Linked DNA regions of Oryctolagus cuniculus. The protein of the gene in region 1 interacts with the protein of each later gene in a pairwise test. Links are inferred from orthologs where the notes say so. Each region holds a gene or a part of one and is shown on either strand. Other genes may lie near its edges.

Region 1 (3,918 bases):
ACAAATTATAAGACTAAAAATGCTCACAAAAAGGCACTTTTTAAAAAAATTTATTTATTTGAAAGAGCTACACAGAGAGAGAAGGAGGGGCAGAGAAAGAGAGGTCTTCCATTCGCTGGTTCACTCCCCAGTTGGCCACAACAGCCGGAGTTGAGCTGATCTGAAGCCAGGAGCCAGGAACTTCCTCCAGGTCTCCCACATGGGTGCAGGGGCCCAAGGACTTGGGCCATCTTCTACTGCTTTCCCAGGCCACAGCAGAGAGCTGGATCGGAAGTGAAGCAGCCAGGGCTCGAACCGGCACCCATATGGGATGCTGGCACTGCAGGCGGCAGCTTTACACAGTATGCCACAGTGCTGGCCCCACAAAAGGCACTTGTAAATGGCAGCCAGATCAAGAGCTGTGTCATCACCATGACCCCAGAAGCCCCAGCCACTTGCAGACCAACACCTCAAGGATTAACAACCCAGTTTTTGAGTGGCAGAGTCATTTGTGTTAATGTGGTCACAGTGACTCTGACAGAGACATCACTCACAGGCTTCCCACATTTGTTTCAGTTTCTACAGGAAAGATATTTTTATTTTACTGTTTACATCAAAATGCTGGCAAGTGGCCACCTTGTAAAAAATCATGGAAGTGTTACCTTCACAGTCTCCTAATGTGTCGTGTGGAAAGTGCTTTTGATTGCAATAGAGAGCACCTTCAGTGTGACAAGTTCTGTGGCACCTTTCAGGGAGACTGGGAGGGTTTTATAAGGGCCACAGCCTTACATGGGTGGAGAGGTTAGTAGAGGCACTGGATGAAGGACTAAGGCAGGGACCAGTGAATTGGTGATTAGGAACAAGCTGGAGAGCCAGGATCCCTTGTAGAACATTTAAGCCGAACCACTCAAGCCGTGGATTTCAAAATGAGGTCATATCATAATGAATTGTTTTCAATGACCTGTCAGTTGTTAATACTGCTGTTCTTGCCCTTGATGGAGGCTTACTATTCACAGACTCCAAATCACAGGAGACACCGTGGGACAGCCCTGGATGTCATGTGTGCTCGAACCAGAAATGAACAGCATTTTTGTCATATCTGGCGTGCAGTTGCTTCTTTCTTATTTTTCTAAGTGGAGTGTTTCCAAGATCAGGGTTCATTTTGTGAAACATAGCGTTGCCATGATGTGAAAACCACAAATGAACATGTTTCTCCCATCCGTTCTGTTTTTCAGAGAGTGAGACTTCGCCATGGAGACTCTGGGACATTTAGGTTCTCTCTAGGAACTACAAAGTTGAAGGAAAGCAAATTTTCAAAAGGAAGTTGTCTTGAAAATATGTTTACAACTGACTGATGCTATTGACGGCTTTTTATTGTTTTATTTTTAAATAATAAAACACTTTAAGAAGATTATATTTATGGTAAAAGGAAACTGGACTAACAATGAGGCCAAAGACTTTTCCTGCCACGACTTATTCTGGAAATAGCCGACAGCGACTGCAGGAGATCCGCGAGGGGCTGAAGCAGCCGCCCAAGCCTTCCACTCAGGGGTTGCCCGTGGGACCAAACAGTGATGCTTCCCTGGGGAGCAAGGATGCCGCCAGGCAGCAGCAGAGAGCCACCCCGAAGTTTGGACCTTATCAGAAAGCTCTGCGGGAAATCAGATACTCCTTGTTGCCTTTTGCTAACGAATCCGGCACCTCCACAGTGGCGGAAGTTAACCGGCAGATGCTGCAGGAGCTGGTGAATGCAGGGTGTGACCAGGTGGGTGCAGAGCTGGTGACTGCTCATCCGGGGGTTTGTGCGTGTGCCCTTGAACTGCTCCGTTCCTTCTGCCTAAAACATCTTTTCTAGCTGCCTTTCCTTTTCAGGCAAGATCCAGAAGTTTCTGGGCTCTCCTGAAGTCTCCCTCCCCCATTCTATTCTTGTGCAGATGAGAAGGGCTTTCACACTTCACCCTTTCTTTGGGATTTATTTGGGGTTGTTCTGAGGCAGGCTTTGTCTTGTCTTTGGCTTGTGTATTTTTTATGTAGTTAAGGGGAGGTTTGATTGACATGCATTGGCAATTCTCTGACGCTGTTTTTCTCTCTCTCTCTCTTTTTTTTTTTTTTTTAAGATTTATTTATTTATTTGAAAAAGTTACACAGAGAGAGAGAGAGGACTTCCATCAGATGGTTCATTCCGCAACTGGCCGCAATGGCCGGAACTGTGCCGATCCGAAGCCAGGAGCCAGGAGCTTCCTCCGGGTCTCCCACATGGGTGCAGGGGCCCAATGACTTGGGCCATGTTCCACTGCTTTCCCAGGCCACAGCAGAGAGCCAGATCATTCATGGAGCAGATGGGTCTTGAACTGGCGCCCATGTGGGATACTGGCGCTTCTGGCCAGGGCGTTAACCCGCTGCACCACAGTGCTGGCCCCTGTTTTCTCTTGTTTTCAAAAAAATTGTGTATGTTGTTACAGGAGATGTAATTACATTCATGAGATGAGAAAGAAAAAGCCGAAGGAGCCATGGAAATATGGTCTGATTTCCCTGTTGCTTAGGAATAAAGGGGTACATTAGGGGAAGTGGCACCAATAATGTATAAATACACAATTTATAACTCTACATTTGTACCCCTTAGCAATTCACATAGCTGAAAAGAATCCAGATTAAGGGACTAGGCTCTCTAAAGTGGAGCTAAAATGTAATTGTGTTATGAAATGACTTAGGAAAGCCAGTTCCATCTCTCATCTCAGAACTCACAGTTGTATGAAAGGGAAGTAAGCCAAGTTTTTCTGTTGTCTTAGAAAATCAGCAAGAGTCTGTGCTCAGAGCTCTTCAGGATGGGGTGAGCACATTCAGTTCCTCAGAAGGAAGCTGGCATCGCAGTCCTGGGAAAAGGCTGGCACTGTCATCTCTTATTTCCAAAACAAAGCCCAGGCCTCCTATTGTAGTTTCTCATCATAGCATCTCACTGGGGATTGATGTGTTTGTGAAACGCATCCTTGCTCTTTTGCAGGGGGCTTCTTTGGCCCTGTGAGCTGTGCCAGGATTCACTTGCGAGTGTTGTTAGTTGGAGTTGCTTTTCTCAGGCACAGGCTGCAGACAGTGCTGGCTGCGAGACCACGTGCCACCTCCTGGCAGGACAGGTGTTAAGAGTAGGGAAGGAGCAGGCCTGGGAGACCCCGGACGTTCAGGCCAATGGCAAAGCTTTAAATCTTCTATAAATTACTTGCTGACCAAAGAGGCCATTGAGCCCCATGCCCTTGGCGTTTGTGTTTCAGCCGTGAGGAAGAGGAACAAGTTGAGCAAATAGTCCACGGTGATGTTGGTGGCATCTTAGTAGGGTCAAATCCATCAGCGATAATTACCGCCCATGAAATAATGAAGCCTTGCTGAGCCCCGTCAACATTTCACGTGTGTTACTTGGCAGCACAGAGAGCTCCATGTACCACAGTTATGCTTCGGAAGTGACTCTGTCTTTTGTGTGGAGTGCTGCTTTGTCGCCTACAACAGCTGCGCCTCCTTCCTTCCCTCCAACTCTGGCTGCTTCTGCCCTGGATAAAAGGTGCATTTGCTTTCAGAAATTTCCCACAGGAAAGTCATTGTGAGAGAGAGCAGAGATCAGCTGTGCCGCTAGAGCTGCACATGTCTGGATAAAGCAGGTTATTAGGTGCCAGGATACTGGGGGAAGAGAATCCTAGCCTAGCATCTTTCCCCTTTGTCTCCTATTGTGTTGCCTTTTAACTGAGTTGCAGTTTTGTTCTCCTGTACTTTGAGCTTCGGTGCTATCTTTAACGCCGGTTTTCATCAGAATGGCCGTAAATGCCCTGTTCGTACAGGGTCTTAGATACATGCATTTTATGCAGTTTTATTGATTGCATGTATACACACGTGCATTTATTTCATTTGATTCAGACCAAGACTTATTAAATGTCTATTTGATTTGAGTGTTTG
Region 2 (3,818 bases), on another chromosome or scaffold:
TCTCCACGCCTCACCTGTAAGTGGAGACAAGCGCACCTTCTTCAGAGGGTCATGGTGAATGTGTGACCGTCTGTACCATGGTACATGGGAGTGGTAAGTGAATGTTTGCTCTTACTCATTTAGTGCCAAGGGGAAGAGAACTATTCTCAGGTTGATCGTATGCCGAAATGACTGCGAACCCATGCCCTGGATTCCTTGTGATCCCATAACAGTGAGAGTAGGGTCTTCCACATATCTTGTTCTTGTTTGTAACCCTTGGTTTTTACCTTTGCATATGGTTTATCTCTTATGGGTCTCTCCCATTTCCTCTGAGTCAACTCTTCTTTTGGATGTTATGATATTAAATCTCAAACTCTTGATCCTTTAAATCTCAACCTCTCTCAGCGCCATTTCATCTCATCCTACACCAAATCAAATGTCAGTCTTCTCAAGTTTTCCTCATAGTTTAATGGGAAGCCAGATTCTGTTTGTGATTCATGACCTGATGTATAGTAAGTGCCTCAAAGTGCACTATGTTCATAAATGATGTAGTCTGACTGTACTGGCTTTCTGTGAAAGATGCCAGTCTTTTGAGATAGCCCCAGCTGAGACTGTGGAATCACCTTTGACCCCTCCTTTCACTTTGTCCAGACCTGGAAGTGGGCCAGTGAGGCTTCCTTTGGGGTGGGAGCACATGTGCCTGTTTTGCTCTTGCCACTGCTGCCAATCTGGTCATGCTTTGTAGCTTCCTGTTGAATTTCCTCAAATTCTTCTTTTTTTTGTCCTGGGGTGCGTCCCATGATCCACTCAGACTCAATTCTAATTTCTTTTTTTTATTTAATAAATATAAATTTACAAAGTACAACTTTGGAATTGTTGCGGCTTTTTCTCCCATAACCTCCTTCCCACTTGCAACCATCCCATCTACCACTCCCTCTCCAATCCCATTCTTCATCAGGATTCATTTTCTTTTTTTTTTTCTTTTTTAGGATTCATTTTCAATTATCTTTATATACAGAAGATCTTGGTCTTTCTATGATTCTCCACTGCCCAGCATACACGAGGGTACTTCAGAAAGTTTGGGGAGCAGAGTGGAAAGCAGTTTGGTGTGAAAGATTTTGAAATCCATGTGTTGTTTTTTTCTTGAAATACATTTTCCATGCATTGTTGAAGACCCCTTGTGCAGTTCTGAATCCTGCTCTTTGCGTGCACTTCCCTTCCTTGAGCCCCAGGCTTTGCTCAGATTTGCTTACTCTGGCATGTCTAGGCCAACTCCCTTTTTCTTCTTGCCAGCTTTGCTTTTGTTGGTGTTGCCACACCCTCACTTGGCATCATCTGGGAGCCAAAGAAGGTCAGTGAGCCTGGGGTGGAATGAGTGAGAGGAGAGAGGCCTGAGCTAAGGTTAGAGGGTAGCAGGATGTGGCTATTCAGGCCCTTGTGGACCACACTGCAGTGTTTCATCGTCAGCCTGAATAGCACATGGTGGGGCTCTCAGCAGCTGCACGAGTGCTCAGGACCTATGGAGTGTTACAGCTCGCTGCCAGCGGGGTACAGAATGGATTGAAAGGCAAGGAAGGAAGCAGGGCCACCAATTACAGTGACTTCGTACCCAGTGAGCTGGTGCAGGGACGAAAGAGCTGACACGGAAGATGGAGGCAAGTGAGCAAACAGGAGATTTGTTTTGAAGACACAATAGATAGGATTTTGGTGGGATATGGGGCAGGAAGGAAATGGATGCAGCAAGGATAGTTTCTGGGTCTCTGGGTAATAACCGGGGACTCATGGAACCTCAGACTGAACCAGCAGCCTGGAGAGGAGCAGCTTCATTCCTGTCTCCCTCACAACACAGCCTGTCACGTAGGAAGCCCTTTAAATGTTAACTCTTAGTATCCTGTGTTTATGCTGTGCTTCTCGGAGTACATTTTAAATTCCCTGAAGGCCAAAGGCTGTGCTTTAAACTATTTTTCCTACAGCATCTATCATAGTGCCTTAGCCAGGAAAGGTGGTGAATCAATATTTAATTGAGTGACAAAAACTGTTCCACACTTTGTTTCTGCCTCCTTTCCAAGTCCTAATTATTTGAAGTAAGCAATTAAAGAAATTGGGGAAAATTTCTATTTTCATATATCATACATACAATGCGAGGTTTTTCTATATTTGCACTCAGAAGTGTTATTTAATACGAGTCACTGGAGTCGGGCCTGGGATTCGTCCGTGTGGTATCCTCAGGCTGGCTCCCTACCTCCTGGTGCCTGCTGTCTCCACAGATGTGCACTGGGAACTACACCTTTGTCCCTTACATGGTGACACCACACAACAAGGTCTACTGCTGTGACAGCAGCCTCATGAAGGGCTTGACTGAGCTCATGCAACCCAACTTGGAGCTGCTTCTCGGACCCATCTGCTTACCTCTTGTGGATCGTTTCATTCGACTTTTGAAGGTGGCACAGGCAAGTTCCAGGTAATGTGCAATAACACCATTTGGTGATGATAAGGAATGGTTCTACTTCTTTTACTTATCCATAGAAGATGATCCTCAGGAATCAATATACAGCTAAGAACCAGGATAAATGTTGCACACTGTCTTCCGGGGTAGGGAATATCTCGCTGGCAGTCTGTATAAGGCCAGTGAGATCATTTAGTCTGGCCCTGCAAAGGCAATCATGGGTGGGATTTGAAATTCAGTAAATCTATGGTAGGCTAATTTTTAAGTTGATAATTTAGTTTGTCCCATGCTTGATGTCATAAATATCCAAATGGCACTTGGCAGAGAAAAGGTTCCCCACCCCTGCAAGCAGATAATATACTCATAGATGTCATATAGTTCACATGTTGCCTTGTGTTTATTTTACTCACAGGACAACTTGGTATCAGAAGGAATAAAGACTACTAACTGCTTTATAGGAGTGTCAGAGCTAAAATACATACCGAAACCTTATCAGAATAAGGTCCAAGGACTTTTCAGCATAAGGACAAGAATTCTGCAAAAATTGCTGAGGCAGATGTTGATTAAGAGCAAATGTTTATGTTCATAAATGATGCTGAGTCAGAAAGTACAGGTTATATGATTTAGAACAATTCCTGCTCAGAAAAGTCAATCAAAAATGTGGTTTTGTGGTTTAAGTGGTACGATGCATGGAGATTCATTTACATAGTATTCCTTATAACTCTTTTTGAAACAAGACAGAATATGAAAGGAAATACAGGGACTTCAAAATTTCTAAATAATGACAGATTATGAGATATTCATTCTGTTCACACTAAGTAATTGAAAGCTATGAGTACACAAATGTCATTCATTTTCTTATAAAATTACTATTTTTATTGAAATCTTTGGAATGTGTTTTGGTTTCTCCACAGCCAATATTTCCGTGAATCTATACTCAGCGATATCAGGAAAGCTCGAAATTTATACACTGGTAAAGAATTGGCAGCTGAATTGGCAAGAATTCGGCAACGAGTAGATAATATTGAAGTCTTGACAGCAGATATTGTGATCAACCTGTTACTTTCCTACAGAGATATCCAGGTAAGAAGATACTTAACAGTAAAATCTGTCCTGTAGGATGTTGGAAGGGAGTGCAAATGTCAAATTTCTGTTACCATATGTAGTTTTTTTTTTAATTGGTTCTCATGAGTTTTCCATCCCATGATTTTATGATGAAAGAAGACTCCTGTGAGTTAACTGTCAGTGATTGAGGAAAACTTTCATGGTAAAGGCCTGATTTTTCCCTTTAAAAAAAAAAAAGAAAAGAAAAATGCTAATAGGGCTATCCTATGTACAGTCTGTTCCACTCAGACACACTTGTCAGTCAATAAATGAAAGCTGGTTTAGGGAA

Evidence for each region.
Region 2: the proteins of LATS2 (region 1) and MAP3K5 come close enough for resonance energy transfer, tested with the Homo sapiens proteins (2 studies listed by BioGRID, with this or other methods). The link is inferred for Oryctolagus cuniculus from reciprocal best matches to the Homo sapiens genes LATS2 and MAP3K5.

What each region holds. Positions count from the first base shown.
Region 1 is NC_091440.1:91,958,990-91,962,907, reverse strand, and holds the start of LATS2 (serine/threonine-protein kinase LATS2), read left to right. Parts: upstream 1-1,216; 5' UTR 1,217-1,423; coding exon 1,424-1,744; intron 1,745-3,918. UniProt on the Homo sapiens protein: Negative regulator of YAP1 in the Hippo signaling pathway that plays a pivotal role in organ size control and tumor suppression by restricting proliferation and promoting apoptosis.
Region 2 is NC_091436.1:32,159,563-32,163,380, forward strand, and holds part of MAP3K5 (mitogen-activated protein kinase kinase kinase 5), read left to right. Parts: intron 1-2,246; coding exon 2,247-2,440; intron 2,441-3,339; coding exon 3,340-3,508; intron 3,509-3,818. UniProt on the Homo sapiens protein: Serine/threonine kinase which acts as an essential component of the MAP kinase signal transduction pathway. Plays an important role in the cascades of cellular responses evoked by changes in the environment.